Linked DNA regions of Macaca mulatta. The protein of the gene in region 4 interacts with the protein of the main gene of each other region in a pairwise test. Links are inferred from orthologs where the notes say so. Each region holds a gene or a part of one and is shown on either strand. Other genes may lie near its edges.

Evidence for each region.
Region 1: the proteins of LDOC1 (region 4) and MFAP1 interact in binary tests that used the Homo sapiens proteins (3 or more experiments, as listed by UniProt). The two-hybrid records come from large-scale screens. The link is inferred for Macaca mulatta from reciprocal best matches to the Homo sapiens genes LDOC1 and MFAP1.
Region 2: the proteins of LDOC1 (region 4) and PSMA1 interact in binary tests that used the Homo sapiens proteins (3 or more experiments, as listed by UniProt). The two-hybrid records come from large-scale screens. The link is inferred for Macaca mulatta from reciprocal best matches to the Homo sapiens genes LDOC1 and PSMA1.
Region 3: the proteins of LDOC1 (region 4) and TNNT1 interact in binary tests that used the Homo sapiens proteins (3 or more experiments, as listed by UniProt). The two-hybrid records come from large-scale screens. The link is inferred for Macaca mulatta from reciprocal best matches to the Homo sapiens genes LDOC1 and TNNT1.
Region 5: the proteins of LDOC1 (region 4) and PEG10 interact in binary tests that used the Homo sapiens proteins (3 or more experiments, as listed by UniProt). The two-hybrid records come from large-scale screens. The link is inferred for Macaca mulatta from reciprocal best matches to the Homo sapiens genes LDOC1 and PEG10.
Region 6: the proteins of LDOC1 (region 4) and ZBTB16 interact in binary tests that used the Homo sapiens proteins (3 or more experiments, as listed by UniProt). The two-hybrid records come from large-scale screens. The link is inferred for Macaca mulatta from reciprocal best matches to the Homo sapiens genes LDOC1 and ZBTB16.
Region 7: the proteins of LDOC1 (region 4) and SDCBP interact in binary tests that used the Homo sapiens proteins (3 or more experiments, as listed by UniProt). The two-hybrid records come from large-scale screens. The link is inferred for Macaca mulatta from reciprocal best matches to the Homo sapiens genes LDOC1 and SDCBP.

Annotation. Positions count from the first base shown.
Region 1 is NC_133412.1:21,198,518-21,202,017, forward strand, and holds part of MFAP1 (microfibrillar-associated protein 1), read right to left. Parts: intron 1,924-3,500; coding exon 1,704-1,923; intron 1-1,703. UniProt on the Homo sapiens protein: Involved in pre-mRNA splicing as a component of the spliceosome.
Region 2 is NC_133419.1:50,928,364-50,932,490, forward strand, and holds the start of PSMA1 (proteasome subunit alpha type-1), read left to right. Parts: upstream 1-1,327; 5' UTR 1,328-1,375; coding exon 1,376-1,378; exon of another isoform or gene 1,379-1,765; intron 1,766-2,716; coding exon 2,717-2,761; intron 2,762-3,770; coding exon 3,771-3,872; intron 3,873-3,998; coding exon 3,999-4,102; intron 4,103-4,127. UniProt on the Homo sapiens protein: Component of the 20S core proteasome complex involved in the proteolytic degradation of most intracellular proteins. This complex plays numerous essential roles within the cell by associating with different regulatory particles.
Region 3 is NC_133424.1:67,462,197-67,466,310, forward strand, and holds the start of TNNT1 (troponin T, slow skeletal muscle), read right to left. Parts: upstream 2,801-4,114; 5' UTR 1,598-2,800; coding exon 1,514-1,597; intron 1-1,513. UniProt on the Homo sapiens protein: Troponin T is the tropomyosin-binding subunit of troponin, the thin filament regulatory complex which confers calcium-sensitivity to striated muscle actomyosin ATPase activity.
Region 4 is NC_133426.1:147,689,452-147,692,694, reverse strand, and holds LDOC1 (protein LDOC1), read right to left. Parts: upstream 1,851-3,243; 5' UTR 1,757-1,850; coding exon 1,316-1,756; 3' UTR 501-1,315; downstream 1-500. UniProt on the Homo sapiens protein: May have an important role in the development and/or progression of some cancers.
Region 5 is NC_133408.1:124,716,020-124,720,286, forward strand, and holds PEG10 (retrotransposon-derived protein PEG10), read right to left. Parts: upstream 2,801-4,267; 5' UTR 2,680-2,800; coding exon 1,600-2,679; coding exon of another isoform or gene 452-1,599; 3' UTR 21-451; downstream 1-20.
Region 6 is NC_133419.1:114,997,010-115,000,509, reverse strand, and holds the end of ZBTB16 (zinc finger and BTB domain-containing protein 16), read right to left. Parts: intron 3,288-3,500; coding exon 3,120-3,287; intron 473-3,119; coding exon 243-472; 3' UTR 174-242; downstream 1-173. UniProt on the Homo sapiens protein: Acts as a transcriptional repressor. Transcriptional repression may be mediated through recruitment of histone deacetylases to target promoters. May play a role in myeloid maturation and in the development and/or maintenance of other differentiated tissues.
Region 7 is NC_133413.1:69,261,866-69,265,365, reverse strand, and holds the end of SDCBP (syntenin-1), read right to left. Parts: intron 2,975-3,500; coding exon 2,883-2,974; intron 1,497-2,882; coding exon 1,442-1,496; 3' UTR 460-1,441; downstream 1-459. UniProt on the Homo sapiens protein: Multifunctional adapter protein involved in diverse array of functions including trafficking of transmembrane proteins, neuro and immunomodulation, exosome biogenesis, and tumorigenesis.

The DNA.
Region 1 (3,500 bases), on a different chromosome or scaffold from region 4:
TGAGGTGGGGGAAACTGAGGTGCAGATTAAAGGAACTAGACTAGGATATCAGAGCAAATAGCCAAGTTTGGCCTGAAATACTAAACGTATGTTGAGGCATCCTAAGGCACCACAGCAAGCCAGCAAACTCATAGGGATGCATTGGGATTTTTTTTTGAGACAGAATCTCACTCTGTTACCCAGGCTGGAGAGCAATGGCGTGATCTCGGCTCACCACAACCTCCCCCTCCCAGGTTCAAGCGATTCTCCCTGCCTCAGCCTCTTGAGTAGCTGGGATTACAGGCGTGCACCACCACACCCGGCTAATTTTTGTATTTTTACTAGAGAGGGGGTTTCGTCATGTTGGCCAGGCTAGTCTTGAACTCCTGACCTCAGGTGATCGCCTGCCTTGGCCTCCCAAAGTGCTGGGATTACAGGCGTGAGCCACCGAGCGTGGCCTGCATTGGGATATTTTCAATAGCTCAAGGTAATTCAGTTTCAACATTAAGTCATATTACATTCCTTTTGAGAATATCGTATCTTCGTGAAATTGGGTTTTGGTGGCTGCTGTGGTAAAAAGTACAGTGTGAATATCAATATAAAACAAGACATGAAAAAGTGACAGTGCTGATTCCAAGGTCTGCAAGGCTGTCAGTGTCCAATAGGCACACAAATTCCACTAGTAACTGTGGTTATGTGAGAATGAATAAAAGTGTTTTTTTCCCCATGGGCACTGTAATTTTATTTATTTTTTCTTTTTTCTTTTTTGAGACGGAGTCTCACTCTGTCACTCAGGCTGGAGTGCAGTGGCATGATCTCGGCTCACTGCAACCTCCGCCTGCCAAGTTCAAGCAATTCTCTGCCTCAGTCTCCCAAAGTAGCTGGGATTACAGGTGCCCACTGCCATGCCTGGCTAATTTTTTTGTATTTTTAGTTGAGATGGGGTTTCACCAAGTTGGCCAGGCTGGTCTTGAACTCCTGACCTCGTGATCCACCTGCCTCGGCCTCCCAAAGTGCTACGATTACAGGTGTGAGCCACTGCGCCCGGCCATGGGCACTGTAATTTTCAAGTGGCAAAGTTATTAGGACATAAATACTTATTAAGTTACTTGGCTCTAACTACTTACTAACTAAAATAAACAGAACTGTTTTGGCCCAGGAGCTCTGTGAAAAAACCCCTGGGACAATTATGAACGGTGAAAGTTCAGGACCCCTGGTCTGCTCTATTAAGGTAATGTCTCAATCAGTATATAACATACAAAATCCCTCACTGGGAGACTTTCTACAATGAGACCTTTATGAGGTCTTTTCTCCTGCTTCAGTGTCATTTCCCCTTATTAGCATTTAGAATAAGCAGATGTATAAAATCAATTTACCAAAGTTTATAAAACATCTTTGTGCTAAAAAGACTCCCCTCAACAGCCAACGAATGGTCTGTGTTTTCTATTCCCGTAAGGAGTTGAGTAGGTCCTTTAGGCCAGAAGTAACCTGCTGTTTTCTGAAGCTGCCACTTTGTAACTTTGGTCATGTAACTTTCTTAGCCCCTTTGTGCTCTTAGTTTCCTCTTTTGTGAAATGGGGATAATAGCACCTATTTCATAAAGCTATTGTATGGATTACAACAATTAGCAAATGTCAGCTACTTGGCAGTACTATTCAAGTATTAGCTATTATTATTAAGCTGTAGAGGTTCATGTTCAAGTAAAACACAATCACAGACATTACCTCTCTTCCACATCTTCACTAATACGGTTCTGTAAACGCCGTAGCCGGGGGTCACTAGATGAATCCTCCTCCTGTTCCTCAGGCTCTGCTTCTTGTTCTTTGGCTTTCTTAATGAACTGAAATTCTTCATCTTCCTCATCTGAGGACTCCATAGGGGCATAGTCTGGCCTCTTTCCGGACACATAACGCTTTACCTTCACTTTTTCCATTGAAATCTCACCTGGGTGAGAAAAATAACTATGTTTCAGTAGCCTGTTTCTCAATGTGCTTCATCCCATTATGGCCTTTGCAAATAGAACCCTTTATTCATAGTAGACAAGAGTCTAAGCAGGAGAAGAAAAGAGCCACTACCCAACCATCTATTCATCTAATAGTGTTTTCCTACAAAGGCCAAGTCACGAGACTGCCTCCTTGTGAAAGCCAACACTGATGATAATGAGGCTTACCTTGAGTACAATGAAGTGGAGGAAGGCAGGCAGTGAAACAGTAGAAAAAAGTCCCCCGCAAAAAGGCAGACTGCATCCATCACAAATTCATGGCATCCCACCTCAACTATACCCTTAAACAAATTATTTGTAACAGTGCCCACCACATAGTAAGGATGATTTCTGCAGGAACATAAAACTAAAATGCTGCTCAGGCATTCTTGTAGTTCCCTCTGGGATTTCCACGGCAGCCTTTATAACATATTACCACATGACTCAATATTCTAATCTTACTTATTTCTACCTTCTTTTCCTTTACCTTATGTGTTATCAAACCTGCAAGAGTAGGTAATCTGTTATAAATACAATTCTTTTTTTTTTTTTTTTTTGAGACGGAGTCTCACTCTGTCGCCTAGGCTGGAGTGCAGTGGTATGATCTCGGCTCACTGCAACCTCCGCCTCCTGGGTTCAAGTAATTCTCCTGCCTCAGCCTCCTGAGTAGCTCGGACTAAAGGCATGCGCTACACCATGCCCAGCTAATTATTTGTATTTTTAGTAGAGATGGAGTTTCATCGTGTTAGCCAGGATGGTTTCCATCTCCTGACCTCAAGATCCGCCCACCTCGGCCTCCCAAAGTGCTGGGATTACAGGCGTGAGTCATAGCACCCAGCCTACAAATATAAACAATTCTAGTGAACAAAGAGAGACAGTGAAAACTAACCAACTTATTTTATGAGTATAACCTTGATAACCAAATTGGACAGTTCAAAGGAAAACTTTAGGTGGATTTCACTTACAAACACAAATACAAAAATATTAAATAAGAGCAAATTTATCCCAGCGATATAAAAACTACCAAAAAAAAAAAACCCGAAACAAAAAACCCCTAAGCCAACACAACTTATTAGAATTTAGCTCAAGACTACAAGAATAGTTTAACCTTAGAAAATTAATGAGGGGGCCAGGTGCGGTGGCTCATGCCTGTAATCCCAGCATTTTGGAAGGTTGAGGCAGGAGGACTGCTTAAACCCAGGAGTTCGAGACCAGCCTGGGCAACAAAGTTAGACCTTGTCTTTACTAAAAATAAAAAAATTAGCTGGGCATGGTGGTGTATGCCTGTGGTCCCAAGCTACATGGGAGGCTGAGGTGGGAGAATCACTAGAGTCCAGGAGGTTAAGGCTGTGGCGAGCCGTGACCACAGCAAGGCACTCACTTCAGCCTGAGTGATACAGTGAGAACCTGTGTCAAACACAAAAATATATATAGCTGGGCACAGTGGCTCATGCTTGTAATCCCAGCACTTTGGAAAGCCAAGATGGGCAGATCAGTTGAGGCTACGAGTTCGAGACCAGCCAGGCCAACATGGCGAAAC
Region 2 (4,127 bases), on a different chromosome or scaffold from region 4:
ACTACAGGCGCACGCCACCACGCCCGGCTAATTTTTGTATTTTTGGTAGAGACGGGGTTTAACCGTGTTGGCCAGGATGGTCCGATCTCCTGACCTCGTGATCCACCCGCCTCTGCCCTCCAAAGTGTTGGGATTACAGGCGTGAGCCACCGCGCCCGGCCTTTTTTTTTTTTTTTTTTTTTTGAAACAGAATCTCTGTCGCCCAGGCAGGCTGGAGTGCAATGGCGCGACCACGGCTCACTACAACCTCGATCTCCCGGGCTTAAGAGATCCTCCCACTTCAGCTTCCCGAGTAACTGGGACCACAGGCGCATGCCAACATGCCCAGCCTTTTTTATTTTAGTATTATTATTATTATTGTAGCGACGAGGTCCCACTGTATTAAAATAATATAGTGATCTCGAACTCCTGGGCTCAAGCGATCCTCCGCCCTCGGCCTCCGATAGTGCTGGGATTACAGGCTACCGCACCCAGTCTCTTTTTTTACAAAGAATGTAAATAGCCGGTGGATGTTAGATTGGCAGCTGTTTGCAAAGATGTCAGACTATTTCATTACGGAAAGATGCTCTCAAAAGACAAAATAGGTAAGTCGAAAGAACGTGTCCATTTTTTCTCAGTGGCCTAATCAGGTATCATGCTTGGTTTTGAGGACACAGAAAGACAGCGCCCTCATGGAGTTCAAAGTCTGGTGGAGGAAACCAATCATAATAATAATGAGGGGTTAAAGACAACAGAGCCTTGAAAGATAACATCTCCAGGGAATAAGGAAGAGCATTCCAAGGTATCTTGCCAAATGGCAAAAACCGCGGTTACTTTTGCACCAACCTTAATACAAATAAAAGCATGTACACAAACAAGATACTCGAGGAAGAATACGGCTGACACACAGAAACGGATCGTTATCTTGGGGCTTTCCTGCAGCCTCGTTTCTTTCAGTCACGTAACACCCCAAAATCTGTGGACGGTGAATGAGAGCTAGTATCACCCGGAGTCACGGCTGTTGCCTCGTAAGACTTTAGATGCAGCCCGCCACCGGGAGAAACTGGAGGGAATCCGCAATACACAGGAACCAAGAAGGGCTACGTGACAGGGGGTCCCCCGCAGCTCTCAGCCGCCGGCACTCCCAGCCCTGGGTTTCCCGCCAATCTCAGTTACTAGATCTTCCCAGGCTCCGCCCGCCGCCGAGCGGTCGGAGAGTTTTAAGGAAGGGGAAGTGTTGCAAGCCTATCGATATCTCTGGAATAGACTGCGCTACCCTGCGCCGCCGCCATCAGACTCCCGCAGACTTCTCTGTAGATCGCTGAGCGATACTTTCGGCAGCACCTCCTTGATTCTCAGTTTTGCTGGAGGCCGCAACCAGGCCCGCGCCGCCAACATGGTACGTTGAATCCCGACCTCTGGAAGGTTTAGGGCAGAGCTCCGGTGACTCGGGGATGACGAGCCACCTCTCCTGTCATCCTTAGCGCCGCCCGGGGCCACGAGGTATGGGAGCCTCGGCAGACGGCCGGGCTCCGGCAGTGATTCAGCATCTCCGGCCTGGCCGGGTTAGGGGCTGTCGGTAGCCAGTGCGGCCTTTCCACCGCTTTCGCTTCCCGGGGAGCCTCCGACACTTCCTCCTCTGTCAGCTAGATGAGTTCGCCCCTCAGGTTCCTTCAGTGGAGTAGATTCTGAGCGGTCCAGAATAGCCCCTAGTGCTGTGTATGGGAGAGGAGAAGACAGAGACTTGGAGGCCTACCTGTACCACCAGTGCGGACTTGACCCCCAGGTTTGTGTTCCTGGACCGCGTCCGTTTTCCTGGTGGGTCCGTCTGATTTATCTCTCCCCTAGACTTCGGTTAGAAGAGGCCCTTTTCAATAATTTTGTCCAGTCACCTATTTACAGATGAGTAAGCCGAGGCTGAGAAGGGAAGTGATGGAATCTGGGTTACAACATAGGGTTCTGGGTTTCCAGTGCTGTGCTCGCACTCAATCTCACTCCCGTGATTAGTCTCCCCAGCACTGCTAGACTTATTATAATAGTCATAATAGCCGTAATGGTTCTATCGCTGCAGCTGTTTGTGTCCACCTCTAACTTTCTGAGGACATTTTTGTTCATTCAATATGAATATACAGACAGAGCATTTGTACAAGCATAACTACAGTGAACGTTCAAAAGTCATACATGTCCCTAATCATAAAAGCAGAAAGGGACGTTTAGATAAAGAACTGTGGGAGTATGTGTTAGGGGGATTTGGGAAGAAAAGCTAATCATAAAAACAGAAAGGGACGTTTAGATAAAGAACTGTGGGAGTATGTGTTAGGGGGATTTGGGAAGAAAAGGAGAAGACTTCCAGAAATCGACATTTAAGCTAACTTAAAGAAGAGAAAGGCTTTTAACCATTTATTAGGTCCCAATAAAAGGGAGCAGCATAAGCAAAAATAGGCAAGAAAGTTGATTGTGAACTTTAGTAATTGAGCCTAAAGGGATTGCTATGAAGGGTTTTAGAATAAGAGGTTGGAAAAATAGGACCCATTTAGATCTGCTTCTCCCTCTCCCACCAGTTTATGGTAAATGTAGAATTGGCTTACGTCTGAGTACAGTAGTAATCTTCCAGTAAGATTGCATGAACAGAGTGCCTTAACATTGAATGGAAACACAAGCATATTTCTTAATGAATGTTAGAGTTGGGATTTGAAATGTTCTTCTATTAACAGGTCTTTTTTTCTTTTACTTTTAGTTTCGAAATCAGTACGACAATGATGTCACTGTTTGGAGCCCGCAGGTAAAATAATGTTTTTTAAACTATTTCTGTGAAATGGCTTTTTGTGGCTGCAATATATTTAGAAGCTTGTGAGAGCATAGGCTTGGGGAAAATGGAATATAATATTTTAGTCGTTCTTGGAAGTTGCATTTATAATTAAAATAGGTCTCCTAATGGACCTAGAGGACATTATGTTAAGTGAAATAAGCCAGAAACAGAAAGAAAAATATTTCATGCTCTCACTTATATGTGGAATGTTTTGTTTAAAAGAGCAAATATATAGAGAGAGAGAATAAAACAGTGGTTACCAGGGTAGGGAATAGCAGTGGGGAGGAAAAAAGAGGAGATACAAAGTATCAAATATGTAGGTTGAGCAAGTGGAAGGATCTAAGGTACAACATGAAGACTACAGCTAATAATGCAGGTAGTGTTTTGTATTCAGGATTTTTGCTAAGTGAGTAGTTGATAGCTCTTGCCACAGCAGAGGAAAATGGGTAAGTATGTGAGACAATGGATGTGTTCATTCTGCGATAGTGACCCTACTATATATGTGTATCTTACAACATCATGTTGCATACCTTAAGTATATACAACAAAATTTATTTTAAAAGAAGCTTTTGGCTAGGCGCAGTGGCTTATGCCTGTAATCCCAGCACTTTGGGAGGCCGAGGAAGGTAGATTGCTTGAGTCTTGGAGTTCAAGACCACCCTGAACAACATGAAACCTGGTCTCCACAAGAAATACAAAAATAAGCTGGGCGTGGTGGTGCCTGCCTATAGTCCCAGCTACTGGGGACGGTGATTTGAGAGGATTGCCTGAGCCCAGGAGGCAGAGGTTGTACTGAGCTGAAGATTGTGCCACTGCACTCCAGCCTGGGTGACAGAGTGAAAACCTGTCTCAAAAAAAAAGTTTCTTGATTTAAAAAAAAAATCAGTTGAGATTTAACTATGCCCACCTGACATTTGAAAACTCTAATTTTTAAGTTATAAAAGGCCTTCTAAGATGTGGTTTTGTTTTTTTTTTTCTTTAGGGCAGGATTCATCAAATTGAATATGCAATGGAAGCTGTTAAACAAGGTTCAGCCACAGTTGGTCTGAAATCAAAAACTCATGCAGTGTTGGTTGCATTGAAAGTAAGTAAAGTAATAAATATGTCTTCCTCTGTAAAAAACTATTAATGTAAATTTCACCATAGACAGTAAGGTTGTAAACTTATTTTTACATTTTTTTTTTTAACATCTTATAATGTCTCCATTTAGAGGGCACAATCAGAGCTTGCAGCTCATCAGAAAAAAATTCTCCATGTTGACAACCATATTGGTATCTCAATTGCGGGGCTTACTGCTGATGCTAGACTGTTATGGTAAGTATAATCATGAAAAATAAAC
Region 3 (4,114 bases), on a different chromosome or scaffold from region 4:
GGGGGCTGGACTCCTGGGTCAGAGAGGAGAAGCTGGGGGCCTGGACTCCTGGGTCTGGACTCCTGGGTCTGAGGGAGGAGAAGCTGGGGGCCTGGACTCCTGGGTCTGGACTCCTGGATCTGAGGGAGGAGGAGCTGGGGGCCTGGATTCCTGGGTCTGGACTCCGGGGTTTGAGGGAGGAGGAGCTGGGGGCCTGGACTCCTGGGTCTGGACTCCTGGGTCTGAGGGAGGAGGAGCTGGGGGCCTGGACTCCTGGGTCTGGACTCCTGGGTCTGGACTCATGGGTCTGAGGCAGGAGGAGCTGAGGCCTGGACACCTGGGTCTGAGGGAGGAGGGGATGGAGGCTTGGACTCCTGGATCTGAGGAAGGAGGGGCCAGGGGCCTGGACTCCTGGTTCTGAGGGAGGAGGGCTGGGGGCTGGACTCTTGGGTCAGAGAGGAGGAGCTGCAGCCTGGACTCCTGGGTCTGGACTCCTGGGTCTGAGGGAGGAGGAGCTGGGGGCCTGGATTCCTGGGTCTGGACTCCGGGGTCTGAGGGAGGAGGAGCTGGGGGCCTGGATTCCTGAGTCTGGACTCCCGGGTCTGAGGGAGGAGGAGCTGGGGCCTGGACTCCTGGGTCTGGACTTCTGGGTCTGGACTTGTGGGTCTGAGGCAGGAGGAGCTGGGGCCTGGACACCTGGGTCTGAGGGAGGAGGGGATGGAGGCTTGGACTCCTGGTTCTGAGGGAGGAGGGGCCAGGGGCTGGACACCTGGGCCTGAAGGAGGAAGGGCTGGGGGTCTGGACTCCTGAGTCTGAGGGAGGAGAGGCCAGGGGCTGGACTCCTGGGTCTGAGGGAGCAGGGGCTGGGGTCTGGAATCCTGGGTCTGAGGGAGGAGGAGCTGGGGCCTGGATTCCTGGATCTAAGGGAGGAGGGACTGGGAGTCTGGACTCCTGGGTCTGAGGGAGGAGGGACTGGGAGTCTGGACTCCTGGGTCTGAGGGAGGAGGGACTGGGAGTCTGGACTCCTGGGTCTGAGGGAGGAGGGGCTGGGAGTCTGGACTCCTGGGTCTGAGGGAGGAGGGGCTGGGGGCCTGGACTCCTGGGTCTGAGGGAGGAGGGGCTGGGAGTCTGGACTCCTGGGTCTGAGGGAGCAGGGGCTGGGGTCTGGAATCCTGGGTCTGAGGGAGGAGGAGCTGGGGCCTGGATTCCTGGATCTAAGGGAGGAGAGACTGGGAGTCTGGACTCCTGGGTCTGAGGGAGGAGGGACTGGGAGTCTGGACTCCTGGGTCTGAGGTAGGAGGGACTGGGAGTCTGGACTCCTGGGTCTGAGGGAGGAGGGGCTGGGGGCCTGGACTCCTGGGTCTGAGGGAGGAGGGACTGGGAGTCTGGACTCCTGGGTCTGAGGGAGGAGGGGCTGGGGGTCTCGACTCCTGGGTCTGAGGGAGGAGGGGCTGGGAGTCTGCACTCCTGAGTCTGAGGGAGGAGGGGCTGGGGGTCTGGACTCCTGGGTCTGAGGGAGGAGGGGGCTGGGGACCTGGACTCCTGCGTCTGAGGGAGGAGGGCTCAGGTCTGGACTCCTGGGTCCGAGGGAGGGGGCTGGCTGTCCTAAAGCACGCATGAGGACAGACCTTGGTAGGTGTGGTCCTGGCACAGCCAGGAGGCTGCAGACCCTGCCCCCTCCTCACAGCTGTCCTCTTTTGTCTTATGACAAGTCCATGGGAACCTGATCCAGCTGGGATTAGGAGGAGGCATTTGAGAAGGGACAGTGGCCTGAAGACAATAGCTGCCCCACCCCCAGGAGCTATTTCGGGGGGATGTCATAGATGGTGAGACAGAGGACATTTCCTAAGAAGGGATTTGAGGAAGGGGGGCTTCTGGGAGAATTAGTCACCCTCATCCCCTCTCCCACTCACCCCTCCCCGCTGGCTGGCTTCCTCCCCACCTGTCTCCCCTTTCACCTTCCCATACATCATGCAGGGGGCAGGAGCATAAAGGGCACCTTCTGTCCACAGACCTCACCCGGACCCCTATATTCTTGGACCTCAAAGTCTTTGAGATTCCCTAGGCCACAGGGTGCCTAGCCCCAAATCCCAATACCCACAGATTCTGAGACCCCAATCTGTGATGCCCATGTTTCTGAGACCAGCGAGTCCTCACAGCTGTTCTTGATAGTCCAGATATGGGCCGGGACATCTTAAGACCACTCCCAGGTCTTGGGACCTAAATTCTGAAACCTCAAGAATATGAGACCCCCAAAATCTTGATACCTAACCTCGGAGGCCCAATTCATGATACCCAGATAATGACAGTCCAAGTTCTCGTGCTTTCTATCATAATACCTCAGATTCCGAGGCCTCCACTCCTAAAACCCCAGATTGTGAGACCCACCCCCAATTCCTGATACCCTCAGAGTCTGAGTCCCCAAATCCTGACACCCAGACTGTTTGACCTCCAAGTCCAGATATCCCTGACTGCTGAGATTTCCCCCAGATTCCCAGAACCCCAAGATCCTAGGAGGTTTTGTTCTGGGACACCCAAGTCCTGGCAACCCCGGGTTCGGATCTGTGTGACCCACAAATCCCAGTATTTTCCCCTCTATCCTGAGTCCCCCTGAAGTCTGAGCCTCTCAAGTTCCCAGACTTCCAGTTGTCTGCCCCACCTACCTCTGCACCATTTCTCCATACCCCACATCTTCCCCACCCACCTCCTGCCCCCTCCCGCAAGGACACAGTCTTTGGAGACCACAGGGCCCCGCAGAGCCCCTTACCTAGGCTGTGTCTGAGATGCTGGGAAGCTCGTGGCTGAGCCTTGCTGAGGGCACTGAAGCTACCGGGAGTTTATAGCTGGCCCTGGGAGGCTTGGCCCCGCCCCGAAGGGAGAGGGAGGGGGAGAGAATTCCATTGCTCAAACACAAGTCTGGGAGCTCAGAGACAGCCCCGCTGCCCCTGGCTCCACACTCAGAGTCCAAAAGCCTCCGCAGGCCCCTCCCCAACCCCATGCTAACCCCATCTGCACGGCCCAGGAGCCCCGCTCCCACCCCCACCCCACCCCCAGGTCTCATGGTGCTGCAGCTACCTCCCTTATAGCTCCCTGTGCTTTGACGTCCCCACGCCCGGCCCACAGTAGGTCCTTGGAGGACCTACTAATGACAAATGGGCTATAAGGAATGTTTTCTGTTTTCTTCTCTCCGTTCCCTCTTTCTACCGTGGTCTCTTTCTGGACCCCCGTTTCTGTTGTGTCTGTGGCTCTCCATCTGTGTATCTCTGTGTGTCTGTCTCCACTTCTTCGTCTCCCCCTCTGTCTCTGTCCATCTTTTTGTCTCCCCCTCCCCACCCCCACCCTTTTGTCTGCCACCAGGATTCCATCCTGGTGACAACAGGCACTAAAGCCGGGAAGCAGGTGTGGGGAGGGGGAGGGAGAGGGGGTGTCAATTAGGGTGAAACCTCCCCTCCCTCCCCACCTCCATCTAACACTGATCTTTTTGGTGTCCCCCTCGCGCTTCCTAGCCAAGCCATGACCTTGAGTTCTGGGTTCAAGCCGGCCCTGGAGAGCAGGCCTCCTCCCCTCCCCGCCTCGCCTCTCAGTACCTCTCAGTACCTCTGCCTCTCGTGGTCCGTCTCTGTGTTTCCTGGGGCCTCTCGCTGGGGTCTGTCTTGGGCTCTCTCTGCATCTGTCTCTTTCTGGGTCCCTCAGTGTGTTTCTTGGCATGTGTCTCTAGGTGGTTTTGTCTCTGCATTTCTGTGGCTGTCTCTGCATGTCTGCCCCTCTCAGCGTTTGTGTCCGTGGAGGCTCACAGTTTCTCTGTGCATTTCTGTCCACCTGTGACCCCATTTCTGTCTCTTTTTGGCTCTGGGTCTCTGTGTCCATGTTCATGTCTCTGTCTTTCTAGTTCTCTCCATGTCTTAGTGCCCGCAGTTCCCGCTCTGTGGCTCTCCATTTCCCTCTCTTATAGGGTCTCCACGTCTCCGCACCTTGCTGTGATTATACCTCTGCCTCTCTTTTCTCCTTTCTTTGCACTTCCTTCTATGCATCCATGGTATTTTCTCCCTCTCTCTTTGGGTCTTTGTCTGGCTCCTTCTCTCTCTACTCCCAACTCAGTCCCTCTGTTGCCAGTATGTCTCTCTGCCTATCTGTT
Region 4 (3,243 bases):
CCTGTAAGTGACATGTTGGCTATTTGGAGTTTGAAAGTGACAATGTACTATGTTGGCTCTCTGGAGCCTGAACTCAACAGCTGCATATAGGCAATAAGGATTAAGGGGCAGAACTTCCCTGGCACAATATTAAGGAATCCAAAAGCTCAGAGAATTAGGAGCAATACATATATATGTCCTGGTTTATGCCTGTTGTTACGGTCTAATTATTAATACTGCCCTCTTTGCCATCTGCTCAGCCAACCCTTACCCATGCCACCCTGGAGGACCCAGAGAACACACCCTTTGCCAGGGCTTTAAGAAATGCGTTGGTGAAGGAAGCATCAGAACCCTGACAAAGCCCTGAGGTAGCTGTCCCCAGCAGCCTGGAGTTGACAGCAGGGATTCCTAGGATTGGTTGTATTCCCTGATTTCCATGGGAATAACGGTAGTCACAGTGACAGTTCTAGAGGTCAGTGATAGCACTTAACTATTAAAAGACAATCATTTCGTTTTTTAGTGCTTGATATTTATTGAAAATAATGCCAATGCTTTTTCCAGGTAGTATTGAGGAGCTGGGCTGAGTGCTTGTTTGTTTTGTTTTTAGTACTATTTGTCCAAATGCATACATCTGTGGGACTGCTGCAATTTTGAAAGAAAAATGACAGCTGTGTAAAACCAGTGCATAGGAAAAAAGAAATATCAACAATTTGGCTGTCAGGCACACCGCGCCCCTGCAGCAATCTGGTATGGCAGGGGAGGACACTCGGAGTAGGTAGAAAACTAACCAGGCTGAATGACTGGCCTCTTCAGGGGTTGGTGAGCTGTCCAAATCAATGTCCGAAGAGGCAGAGCCAACTCTGGCATTTTCCAGGTTGGTCCTGATCTCGAAAGGCGGTAGTCTGTAGGTGGGATGTGGTGAGTGGATGTGAAGTGGCAGCATAGTTCTCTGGGCAGATGTAAGCCTGGCAGCAGGGCAGGTGGCAGCAGCAGGGCTATGGGTGGTCTGCGCAGTTTGTAACAGGGGCCTGGCCAATAGCTGGGGTTCAGGACACAGTTCAGATTAGCAGGGGAGGGATCCCCGGGATGGCCAGGGTAGATGACACTTCCAAGCACTTCCGAGTGAGTGAGGCTCCAGCCCCAACCCCAGCAGCAGGTAACTGGAGCACTATTCCTGGAACAAAGACAAGCACTACGGAGAAATGAAGAAAGAGCAGACGGGCGCGGGTAGGGAAGGGGACCGGAGGGCAAGGGGGAGAGCACTGGCTCCTGGCGGGGTGAGGGCTGCGGGGAGGGGGTGACGGCGTGCAGGGCCCTCCCCCCGAGGCCCGAGGGCCTAGTAATTATCCTCTTCGTCCTCGTCGTCGTCGTCTTCGTCGTCATCCCAGCCAAAGCACTGTTTCATCTCATCGAGGAAGGCTCGGTAATCACCTAGGATGGGGCTATCCATCTCGATGTAGGGCACCACCCACTCCTCGGCTTCCCCGGTGAGGAGACTGATTAGGAATGCCACCTTCATGGCGTCGTTGCAGAATCGGTTCTCGTTCACGAGCATGTAAGACGCTGTCTGCACGATAAACTCAGGGAGCCGGGAGCTCTCGCCATTAAACGTTTCGGGGAAGGGCACCGGGCAGCTCGGCGGACGTACCTGGCGCAGCAGGCTGGCCCTCTCGCACACCAGCAGCCGCAGCTGTTCCATGAGCTGGCTGTTCTCGATGGTCAGGGCGCGGTGCCGCATCAGGAGCGCGTGCAGCAGCAGCACCAGCTCATCCACCATTGCGAACAGCCTGGAAGGACAGGGCTCGGCTCGGTTCGGCTCGGCCAAGGTGCGCACGGAGGCCTCGCAGGAAGTGCGTGTCCACGGAGACGCTCGATGGCCAGGGGCTGGGGGCGGGGGGCGGTGCGCGCCGGGGTCCGGGAGGCTACGCAAGCTCCGCCCACGAGGCCATTCGGACGGATGGTGCGCCGGCGCGGCGCGGGAGGGGCGTGGCCAGACTGGCGGCCGCGGCTGCGTGGGGGCGTGGCCGGGATGGGAAGGGTTTAGACAAAGAGGGCGTGGCCAGGAAAAGGATGCATTGGGTCGCTGAACCACCGGCTTGTGGTAGGTCTCTAGGCGGGCAGTTAAAGGCTGGGGTAGGCTCCCCTAGCTCCTGGTTGTGGGGCCTGCGTTAGCAGAGGACCTGGCGAGCGCTGAGTTTGGTCTCAGAGAAGGCAAATTTGTTCAAACTGAAAGGATTAGCCACCCTTCTACCTAGGCAACTCTCACAACTCAGTTGTTCCTTCGTGGGTCTGTGGCCACTAGATTCTCTTGGCGTGATGTTTTATTAACACATTTTCTTTCTTGTTTAAATCTCACTCAGAGAAGTATTGACACTGCTGGCTGCACTGTGGGACTCACACTTCCTTTTAGGATCATGAAGACCTTCAGGGGTTCCTGCCTTTCATGAAAAAGGCAGTATTTAAACAGTGACTTCTTTAGTAGGGGAATAATATGGCATACTCCCTTAAAACAAACAAACAAAAAAAAACAAACCTAAGTAGCAGGATATAAAGAAGTTTTGCAAAATCAGCATCCAATAATCAATTGCAGGCATCCCACATATCTTTGATTCTCTATTTCTTGTCCTGCTATTAGTGCCTTTGGCCACTGGGTTTTATTCTGTACTTAAAAATGAACTGTTAAGATGTTTGTGTTTTTAAATAATTTTGTTTTTCTACTTTAAACGGATCCCTAGAGCCGACAGGAATTGTTGGCTCTGCTTTCAAATATATTGCCAATTCAGTCATGACTTGTCATTTCTACCACTGCCACCCTGATCCCCAGCCTTTCTCACCCAGACTGCTGCAACTAATCACTTAGCTTTCACTCTTTTCTTCCTATAGTATATTCTCCATAGAGTAGCCACAGGAATCGGGCGCGGTGGCTCACTCCTGTAATCCTAGCACTTTGGGTGGCCAAGGAGGGCGGATCACGAGTCAGGAGATCGAGATCATCCTGGCTAACAGGGTGAAACCCTGTCTCTACTAAAAATACAAAATATTAGCGGGGCGTGGTGGCAGGTGCCTGTAGTTCCAGCTACTCAGGAGGCTAAGGCAGGAGAATCGCTTGAACCCGGGAGGCGGAGGTGGCAGTGAGCCGAGATAGCGCCAGCGCACTCCTCCAGCCTTGGTTACCAAGCGAGACTCCATCTCTAAAAAAAAAAACAAAAACAAACAAACAAACAAACAAAAAACAGTTAGATCCCTTCACGCCCCTGCTCAAAA
Region 5 (4,267 bases), on a different chromosome or scaffold from region 4:
ATGTCCTCCTCCTCCTCTTTGTCTCCCCCTCCATAAAGAAATCAGCATTTCCTGCATTTGTATCAGCTTCTCTGTAAATGTTAAAGAACAAATTTGGCAGCCTATAATTTAGATGGTGACAGAGGTTTTGGCAGGTAAAACCCAGACTTCCAGGACTGGCTGGAAAGTAAACTTACTAATTATTTTAGTTAGATTGGCAGTCAAGGTGGAAAAATGAGAGCTAATTTATTGGCAAATACTCTGTTGCTCTCAGAAAATGTTGAAGGTCTTTTGGTGCTTTAGGATGTGTGCCAGTCCAGGGTGGCCCTGACCTTCTACAGCCGTTTCAGAGAGGATGTGCCTCAGGTGGCCTGAAGATACAGTAGCCTAAAACTTAGCACACAGTCACTGATTGAGAAGCTGAACAGGAATAAATTTTGAGGGCAGAGATCCTGAAGGACACGACAAGTATTTACAGGGTACTGTAAGATGGAGGCGGCGGCGGCGGCGGTGGTGGAGGCGGCGGCTGTGGCGGCGGGTACTGTGGTACCGGAGGCTGGCGGTACCAGTGTGGATTCCAAGTGATCATAACAGGTACATATAGTGATCTTCCTTGTCCGTCTCTTCCCACTGGGTACCAGGCGAATCCTACTGGGTAGGTCGGGTATGCGGCATACGTGGGGTACGTTTGGTATCCAGGTATTTGAGGTACGAATTCAGTGTACGTTGCCAGGTGCGCTTGGTCTTCTAAATTTGGAATAGATAGGCGAGGATACTGATTCTGGATAGTAAAATTGTTTGGAGCTCGGCAATCGTAAGAAACTTGCAGTTTCCACCCCCTCTTCACCTGGAGAACTTGGGCTCCATTAGGTGCGATCGTTGGAGTAATCAGCCCATCTTTCACATTTCTTGCCACAAAATCTCGAAGAGCTGCCATTTCAGGTTCAGACAGTGAGTACACATGTCCGCTGGGAATACTGTGTGCTCCAGGTATCATTTCTATGTGAGGGTCAACCAGGCGGTGATCTGGGTAGACGTGCTCATCTACTGGAGTGTACACATTCTGGACATAGTAATATCTCACTGGTTGGTAAACTCTGTATCCATCTACTGGATAATAGAGTGGCGGTTGTTGTGCTGGTGGTGGGAGCGATGGTGGTATTGGAGAATACATCCGGCAGTGGTAGCGGCAGTATTCAGAATCAAAGACAATAGATCGAGTGCTCCATGTGATGTTGGGATCATGTGTGCTCAGCCAGCGAACCCCTAGGACGACAGGGAAGAATGGAGACTGAGTCACATCAAATGACAGCACTTCACGGTGATCTCCCAGGTCAACTATCAGGTCGTGAGTTTCGTGGACAACTGGGCCCGATGCTATGGGGCGCCCATCAATTGCTTCCACAAGTATTGGCCAGTCCTTGATTCTTAGAGGAATTCCATTTTGAGCAACGTATTCGTGATCAATGAAGTTGCCAGAAGCACCAGAATCGATCATGGCTCGGACGAACAGGGTGTGTCTGCCCGGAAGATGAATCTGGAGCATCACTTGCAAGTGTGGAGATGAGGCGTCATCTTGTGGGGACCTTATTATTTCTGGCCCGGTCGCTGAAGGTCCCTCTACAGCGGGGCCGGGGAGTTTCCCGCCGGCGAAGACTTCGAGGCCTTGGCAGGACAGTTGTCAGCGTAGTGACCTCCTGTTCCACAGTAGAGGCACAGGTTCAGCTTTCTGCGTCTTTCTTTTTCCTCCTGGGTCAGGCGCATGCGGGCACCTCCCACCGGCTCGGTTGGATCTACCTGGTGGTGGCTTGCAACGTGAGGCAACACCAGCGCCCGGGGTGGTGAGCGTGGCTTGCGAGCTGCAGCAGCCCTGGCCAGCCTTCTCTCAATGTGAATGCACTGCCCAATCAGAGCAGACAGCGACTTGGCGACCTCGAGGTGGGAGAGCTCCTCCTGAATGTGGTCGCTGAGGCCCTCGTGGTACTGGTCAATCAGCGCAGGCTCGTTCCAATCCAGGTCCTGGGCAATCATCTGGAAAGCATTGGAATAGTCGATGACAGACCCCATGCCTTGGCGCAGGCGTCTGATCTTGCGTTTGGCAGCCTCTCGCCTCTGAGGGTCTTCAAAGACATGCTTCATTTCCATCATGAAAGCTGGGTAGTTGTGCATCAGGTAGTGGGAGCGCTCCAGCTTTGCTGAGGCCCAGCGGGCAGCACGGCCGGTCATCATGCTTGTCACGAAACAGACACGGACACGATCAACTGAGAAATCTCTGGTGCTCTTTTCCATGAAGATCTGGCACTGGGCCATGAAAGGAGCCAGCATGTCTGGGTTGCCATCGAACTTCTCTGGAAGGTCTTCTGGGCACTCTTCCTCTATTGGAGGGGGTGGGGCAGCAGCTGCTGCAGCACCGCGGAGCTCGATGTCATCATCATCATCCTCAGGGGTGGGTTCCACTTGCTCTCGAAGGGTGGTGTTCTCCTCTGTGAGCTTCTGCACCTGGTTCTGCAGGTTGCTGTTCTCCTCGGACTGCTTAATGACCTTCTCTCTTAGGTTGTTGATCTCTTCAGAGAGCTCATCCCTTCTTCGTTCGGTCATGTTGGGGACACACGCGCTCTTATGGCCGGTGTGCTTGGAGTTGTTGTTGTTGTTGTTGTTGGGGGGAGGGGGAGGGGGAGGAGGTGGGCAGTCGGGACCCAGGGTGACGGTTGGGGTGGGAGGAGACCTCCCAGCTGTAGCTTCACTTCTGTGGGGATGGAGGCCTGGATCCTGGCCCCCTCTTCCACTCCTTCTTTTTTTTGTTTTCAAAATCCGCTTATTTCTGTAAATAAAGATAAATGTATAAATCCAACTTATAGATTCAAAGCAGCAAAATGCAGACACAAAGGATTTAGTATTTAAATTATCCCTTGCTCCATGCACTTACTTTAATAATTAGCGAACAAAGAAAACAAACTTTCAAGAGAAAAGTATCAATCAGCACCATAGATAACAAAAAGGAAACTACTTTTTGATGTTCAAATGACCTTGTCTTCCTCAAAGGCCACCTGTTCATTATGATTCAACAATACATCATCAACAGCATGCTTACCTTTATAAACTATAAAAGAATGTTGAAACCCTCTAAACAAGTAGTTTTGTATTGAAACAGAGGAAGAAACTTCAAGGCAAACATAGATACCAAATCAATTATGCAAATTAAAGCCAAAATAATAACTTTTGTTACTAAAGAAGCTAGGCCAAAAATAGTTAATACTACAACTAATAGAAGCTAATTAAAAAAGAGGGGAGTATTAAAATCACAATGCATGTATTCATCAGCCCTGTGGGCGGGAGGAGGGTACTGTGGCCAACTGTCACAACCCTGTTTCACTGCCACAGAGAAGGTCACTGGTTATCAAATCAAACAACCACCACCACAAAAACTACAGGACTGCCTAAATTACTTTTCTGACCATAATTTAAATCCCCAAAGAAAATTCTCTGTGGGACAGAAATGGCACTAAGCAGCAATATGTGTATGTCAGTTTCCCTTGTCATTTATGCAGTCATTCAAGAAATACTAATTGATGCCTCCTAGGAAAAGCTATAAAATGGGGCATTCAAAGAAGCCCAATAATAGTATACCTCAAACTAATTGTGAGGACTTAATTAAATAGTGCAGGTAAATTATGTAGTGAGTATTCAATAATGGTTAGCTGATATTAACAAAGTTATTAATTAGAAAATAGAAAGGTGATTATCTGTGTGAAGAGAGTGGGATTAAAAGAGGGAGGGGCTGCAACTATAGCAACATGGGCATGCATTTCCCACCTAAAGATGTTTACTTTTTTAAAAACACTGTGTTGGTCAAATCCAAGGCCTTATTTGTCTTGCAGGTCACCAGTTTGCAATCCATAGTTTTTAACCAAGATTTGTCAGCATAGCCCCAAATGCAGGTTTGTAATGTTAAGGTGGGACAGGGCTGCATTCCTGCGGGTGAGTGGATGTGTGTGGGGAGGTGGGGGTAGGGTGTGTGTTTAAGCATTCTAATTATGAGTGCAATGACAATAAATCACACACATAAAAAATCCTGACACAGTGTCTGCCTGTGTACTTCCTGAAAATACAGTTAAATACATTTAGAATGATTTAATTATTTTAAATTTTATTAATAATCTCAAGTCCCATATTCGGAAAATTTAAATACATAAAAAGTTTAAAACATAATATGTAAAAGTTTAAAAAAGTTTAAAAAACTTTAATTTAAAAAGTTTAAAACTTTTAAAGAAAGTTTAAAAAGTTTATA
Region 6 (3,500 bases), on a different chromosome or scaffold from region 4:
AGAAAATCAGGCAAACCTCCAGCCGGGAGAGGAGGGTGGAGGCCCCCAGAGGAGGGGCAGTGGCTTGGCATCCAGGTCATCTGGAGCCCAGAGAGAATCCAAGGCCAAAAAGCTATCAGGTTTCCTTTTCCTTCTCTTTTTTTTTTTTCTTTTCCTTTTTTATTTTTCATAGTCCTTCCTTCATCTCGATCCAACTCTTCTTTCCTGGCTCCCCGCTCGGCTCCACCGCCGCGGGCCTCCCTTCACACGTAGCACAGGTAGAGGTACGTCTTCTCTATCCTCCAGTCGGGCGGGATCTCCTCGGGCTTGTGGCCCTTCATGTGCTTCTGCATGGAGGAGAGGCTGGGGCAGTACTCTGTGCAGATGGTGCACTGGTAGGGCGAGGCGCCGTTGTGCGTTCTCAGGTGCTTGATCATGGCCGAGTAGTCCCGGGAGCGCTGGTGGCACAGCTTACACTCAAAGGGCTTCTCACCTGAGGGCAGAGGGACAGGGCAGGAGAAAGTGAGGACAGAGGGCGGTGAGGGCACCATGTCACCCTCAGGTGTGCCAGGGAAGCTGGGTTCCTCCTGCTGGGCTTGTTCCAACAGAACTTTCTGGGACAATGAAGGCACCACCCAAGACGGCAGCCACCAGTCACACATGGCTATGAACGAGGCTGGTGCGACTGGAGCTCTACAGTTTTCTGATTTTATTTCATTGTAACTAATTTAAATAGCTACATGTAGCTAGTTGACTACTGGATTGCCCAGTTCCTTGTCTTACTATTCTTAACTCTCCTAAGGCCACAGTCTTTTCCCTTTCTAATTAAGAAAATGAGTGTCTAGAAAGAGAAAGGCCCCACGGTCCTCAGGAATGGCTCTTCGAGCCGCAGTTCCATCCAGGGAGCAGGTGGATCGAGACCTTTCAGGGCTACAGATGGTGGGGAGCAGGGGTGGGGGAAAACTGAGGGAACCCAGTCCTTCAAATATGCCGCACCTGGGAACCTCTATCCAGCTAAAGCCTTTTTTTTTTTGAGATGGTGTCTCACTGTGTTGCCCAGGCTGGAATGCAGTGGTACGATCTCAGCTCACTGCAACCTCTGCCTCCTGGGTTCAAGTGATTCTCCTGCCTCAGCCTCCCAAGTAGCTGGGATCACAGGTGCTGCCACCATGCCTGGCTAATTTTTGTATTTTTAGTAGAGACAGGGTTTCACCATGTTGGCTAGGCTGGGCTTGAACTCCTGACTTCAAGTGATCTGCCTGCCTCGGCCTCCCAAAGTCCTGGGATTATAGGCATGAGCCACCGCACCCGGCCTATCCTGCTAAAACTGCTAAGACTTTGCCCTGGACCCTGCCTCCCTCCTGAGGCTAGAATTGGGGGTGGGGTGGGATGGGAAGGATAAAGAACCTGGGAGTACACAGCCACACCCTAGCCTTCTATACCCCAACTTTCCTTCCATAGAGTCCCCTAGAGCTGAGCAGAGGATGTGAGGGAACCTTGTTTCAATACAGTAATTAACTGGCCAGCCATCTCGCTATCAATACTCCTCCGTGCACAGGCCCCAGCAAATAATGAAGTAATGAACAGCCAAAGTGATCTAACCATCGACCAGCTATTTACAATAGTCACTGCCAATACAGTTAATGATCCACCTGCCAGGTCACATCCCCGACAAGGGGCTAAGGAAACCCCAGGGCTCTGGGAAATCCTCTGGGTCACTATAGGTGTCAGCAATGGACACCCAACCCTGTCCTTGGGGGCTCAAACTGGGGCACGAAAACTGAGCTCTGACAACACGTAGCTCTGCTTACTGCTCCTTCTGTCCACCCTTCCCCTCCAAAGGCAATGTACTCTCCTCTAAGCCAGCAGGACCTGCCTGAAGCCACCTCTCCCCCTTCCTCTGGACAGGACAGCTGTCCCCCCCGATCAGAGGGGTTTCTTTGTTTTCCATGTGCCACCACCTCTTACCCTTCTGTAAATCAGCCTTCCCCACAACCAGCAATGTGCTGGTGGTAAATGTTTAACAACTGGCTTTCTAAAAAGCCCTGGTTTGTAGCATCTGCTGATTGCTATGATGTGAATACTCCTACCAGGGCCAATTTTAAGCAACTAAGGTGATGTCGCTGAACTTGAAGTTGTGAAGAAATGTGAAAAATTAGCTTTCACAAGCAAGCTCCAATACTCCACTGCCCCCAACCTCGGACACTGTGGAAGACCCTTCACTTCTTTTGTCTTCTGACCTCAGGAAAAGCAGTGGCCCACATTTCTTTTTCCAATACAAACAATAATGTGGCCGGGCATGGTGGCTCATGCCTGTAATCCCAGCACTTTGGAGGCCGAGACGGGTGAATCACTTGAGGTCAGGAGTTCGAGACCAGATTGACCAACATGGCAAACCCGTCTCTGCTAAAAAAAAAATACAAAATTAGCCGGGCATGGTGGCACACGCCTGTAATCCCAGGTAATCGGGAGGCTGAGGCAGGAGAACTGCTTGAACCCAGGAGGCAGAGATTGCAGTGAGCTGAGATCATGCCACTGCACTCCAGCCTGGGCAACAAGAGCGAAACTCTGTCTAAAAAAAAAAAATGTGAAGGCACTCTGAAATGGTAAAACATCATATGCATATAGGGATTATTAAATATATCTGCTCTTCTAATCTCAGAACCAAACACAATCTAACTTTACAATTTCCCAACTTCCATCATAACCTGATTCAATGCATCCTAATTCTTACTGTAACCCTTGAGTAACATGAAATTCGCTTCATGTTAACTGGACCTAACCTTCGCTTCCAGCTAACTGGACCAACTTACCCCTAATTTAGGACTCATATACAGACATCATTTTGCATGTCACCTCTGAACTATTGGTATAACTGCCTGGAGAGCTGGTGGGGGCTCATTGGAAAGTGTGCTGGGATTGATTAGTAATGTCTGCCTTGGCCTTGACTGGTGGCCCTCAGGCCACCTTGACTGGGGTGTGGTGGCCCTCAGGTCATCATACCAGCCCTTAATAGAACCTCTTCTACTCTTTGATTCAGCCTGGGATCATCCTCACTTAGGCTTCTCCAGGAGACCATCTGCTTCCCACCTCCACCCAGGTCCCAGAGCCAGCTCAGACCCCTCCCTGGCCTTCAGTACCTGTGTGCACCCTATAGTGCGTCTCCAGCTGATGCTTGAGGCTGAACTTCTTGCCACAGCCATTGCACTCATAGGGTTTCTCACCCGTGTGGATGCGTTTGTGGCTCTTGAGTGTGCTCTCATCCCGGAAGCAGCTGCCACAGAACTCACACTCGTAGGGGTGGTCGCCTGTGGAGACAAGCGGCTGGATCAGGCATTTGCCTCTCCCTGCCCCCTCCTCAGGGTACAGTAGGGCACATTCAGTGCATGAGAAGGATGAGACGGCCTGTATTCACCACCTCCAAAGACAACTTAGGGATCCACGGCCACACCTCCATTGAATAAACAAGCAATACCTGTGTTCACACATGTCCACACTTTACTGTGGGCCCATGATCATCT
Region 7 (3,500 bases), on a different chromosome or scaffold from region 4:
AGTCAGACCATACTAATAGAATTTTCAAAGTCAGTTTCAAGTGTTATTAAGTATTATCTGGTCTCAGGTATTGCTAGGGACAGTCAGTAGCCTCAATGAGTTCCTGCTGCATGGCAGGGGTGAACCAGCTCTCTTGGCCCTGGTAATCTGGGGTTCCCAGCTGGAAGCAATTTTCCTGACACTCAGTCTCAGCACTGTGAGCTGTTCTTAGGGCCCCTGAATGTCAGCTTGTTCTGGGAAATGATGTCTCCCATAGCTGAAAGTGAATTTCACCTGCCTATCTTCTAGATCATGCATAAGTTTGGTGAAAGCAAATGATGCAGTAACAGACAGACTAAAATGTAACTTTATGTATACATATTTAATTAGAATAGCCATAAACCAAAAAGAAGAAAAAACTCAGGATAAAATGTCACTATCATTTTGTTTGCAAGGAGTCAGGAAATGGAACAAGTTACCAGAAAAATATTCTAAGACCATCCCAAAGTAGCTAGGTTACATAATCTTAAGAGTCAAATGCCAAAATTAAGTATTATACCACTTAATCCACAAATGAACAAAAGAGGAGTCAAAAGTTTATCCTGTTTAGTGTAATAACTTTTACATTAAATATATAGTGATTCACTTCTCACAAAGTGGTGCTGGCAACTTTTAGAAGAAAGAAGTTTCCATTATGCATTGACTAAAAAATCTCAAAAACAACTAAGCAGCTATGCTATAGCTCAGTAAGTACCATTAAACTGTTCTGGGCTAGTGTACATTTCAGGTTAATAGAGATCTACATTTTGGGTTTTAGAAAGGCAGCAATAATTATATTTTGGCTTTTAGTCTAGATGCTTAACATAGTTAAGGCGACAGTTTAAGCATATTAAATGAAGGTAGTTAAAATTTAAGAATCATCACAATCTCTTGCAACCTACATACACTGTTTAATGCTTACATGGAATGAAACCAGTGTTCTTAATTGGCATTTTATACACACACAGAATTTTTTTAAAAAATCAAAGGCAATCATTCTAAATGTACTATGGTAGCATGTTAAAAATGCAAATATGCTATAGAACTAAAGTAATATGAACAGCACTACTCATTACCTAGGAGAAAGGTGACTGGTTTTCACACAAAGCTAAGCCTGTATCAGTCATCCTAATCACAATGGCTTATAAAAGCATCAGGTTTCCAGTAGAGAAACTGTTCTAGGAAAGTCAGTAAATCTCTTGAAAGTTTCACATCTGTAAAACCAGGATAAGGCTACAACTATTTTGAAATCTGAACAAGGTATCAGATGAAAATAGTAAGATTCCCAGCCATAATGTAAGATAGAAAAGTCCTCATGCAGCATATGCTTGCTGGCTCCGGGAAAGCTTCATGTGCATAATACAGAAGTTGCCAAAGAAGGAAACTGGAGACGTTCAGCTGCATTTCCATGGTGCCGTGAATTTTAAACCTCAGGAATGGTGTGGTCCATTAGGCTTTTCATGATGCTTGGTGCCATCCTACAAAAGAGGTGCTTTTATTATATACTGAGATTCTGTCCCCCCCCCCCGAAAATGCTATGTTAATCCAAGAAAATTCCCAATTCCAATTTAGCACCTGTTAGCATCAAATGTGAATGGAGAGAAGGGAAAGATCTTTTAAATGAGTCCAGAAGCATCTCTGGTAATCTAGTTGTTGACAGACCCTCAGTGGGAAAGGCTATCTGTATTTGGCTAGAGAAGTTAGGATACAAATGAATTCTTGTACATTAAACCTGGTGATTTTTTTTTTTTTTTTTTTTTGAGGCGGAGTCTGGCTCTCTTGCCCAGGCTGGAGTGCAGTGGCTGGATCTCAGCTCACTGCAAGCTCCGCCTCCTGGGTTCACGCCATTCTCCTGCCTCAGCCTCCCGAGTAGCTGGGACTACAGGCGCCCGCCACCTCGCTCAGCTAGTTTTTTGTATTTTTTAGTAGAGACGGGGTTTCACTGTGTTAGCCATGATGGTCTCGATCTCCTGACCCTCGTGATCCACCCGTCTCGGCCTCCCAAAGTGCTGGGATTACAGGCTTGAGCCACCACGCCCGGCCAAACCTGGTGAATTTTAAAAAACAGAAAATGACACGGCTGTGATGAGTTGGGGTAGAGGGATCCATCAGTGATTTAAAAAAAGAGAACCTTAGAACAATTAGTCATGACAATAACTCCTTTTTACCCCCTCGAAGCGTAGGGAGGTGCATTCTATCCAGAAGCCAACATACAAATTTCATTACAATGGTTATGTTTATGAATCTTTTAAATCTCATTTTCACATGCATGATAGAGGTTCTGAAAGAAGGATTCCAAGCTGGCTTGACAAAAACAGCTATGGTAGATGCTAGGATACGAAAAGCTGTATAGAAGTAACCTTGTTGCCTCTTTTCATTTCTGATCACTTGGCTTTCTAATCCTCAGTTCCTGAGCACAGATAGCACCAACACACCACACATGTCTATCTGCTTCCTGAGATTCTGGAGAGAAGGGAAACTTACTCCTAGCATTCCACCAGCAAGAATTCTCCATTACGAACCACTACAACTATATTTATACTGAGCAGAGGAGTGGCAGGCAGTACAACTGCAGTCAATTGTACTGCAAATTGAAAGCTAAAAGCATGCCCACTTTTCCTTGCATTCTTCTACTAGGCAATATCAAAACTGAGGAAAGTATATGTGGATTTTATTCCATACTTGGGAAGTTGTAAGAGCTCATCCTTACCAACCCCGCTGACTTAAATAACTTACTTCAAATTTCTAGATAAACACCAGTATTCATTCCTTAGGTAAAAGACCCAAAGGGCTGAGAATTAAACTATAGTGCTTACATTAAGTCACACGACCATATGCATTAAGTTGAGGAATTGTTTACTTACCGCTTAATAATATGTTCAAAGATAAAAGCAGGCATGATTGTAATAGTAACTACAGTCCCAGATGTTGATAGTATGTCTGCAATTTGAGAGTCCTGATAAAAACACATATTAAAAATCAATTCCACAGAGGCTTTATTTAATAAATACAAAATTATGCCAGTCTTGGTAAAGAAATACAAAATATATGTCCTGTTATGTTTTGTTAAGATCTCTAAAATCCTGCTTGGTATTTCTAATTTTTTTCTAGTATTTCTTTTTTTTTTTTTTTTTTGAGACGGAGTCTCGCTCTGTCGCCCAGGCTGGAGTGCAGTGGCGCGATCTCGGCTCACTGCAAGCTCCGCCTCCCGGATTCACGCCATTCTCCTGCCTCAGCCTCCCGAGTAGCTGGGACTACAGGCGCCCACAACCGCGCCCGGCTAATTTTTTGTATTTTTAGTAGAGACGGGGTTTCACCGTGGTCTCGATCTCCTGACCTTGTGATCCGCCCGCCTCGGCCTCCCAAAGTGCTGGGATTACAGGCGTGAGCCACTGCGCCCGGCATTTTTTTCTAGTATTTCTTACCAAGTTTAATTGTACACTATTTTACAGCTAGTAACCAGTTTGCTTAAGTAAACTGAG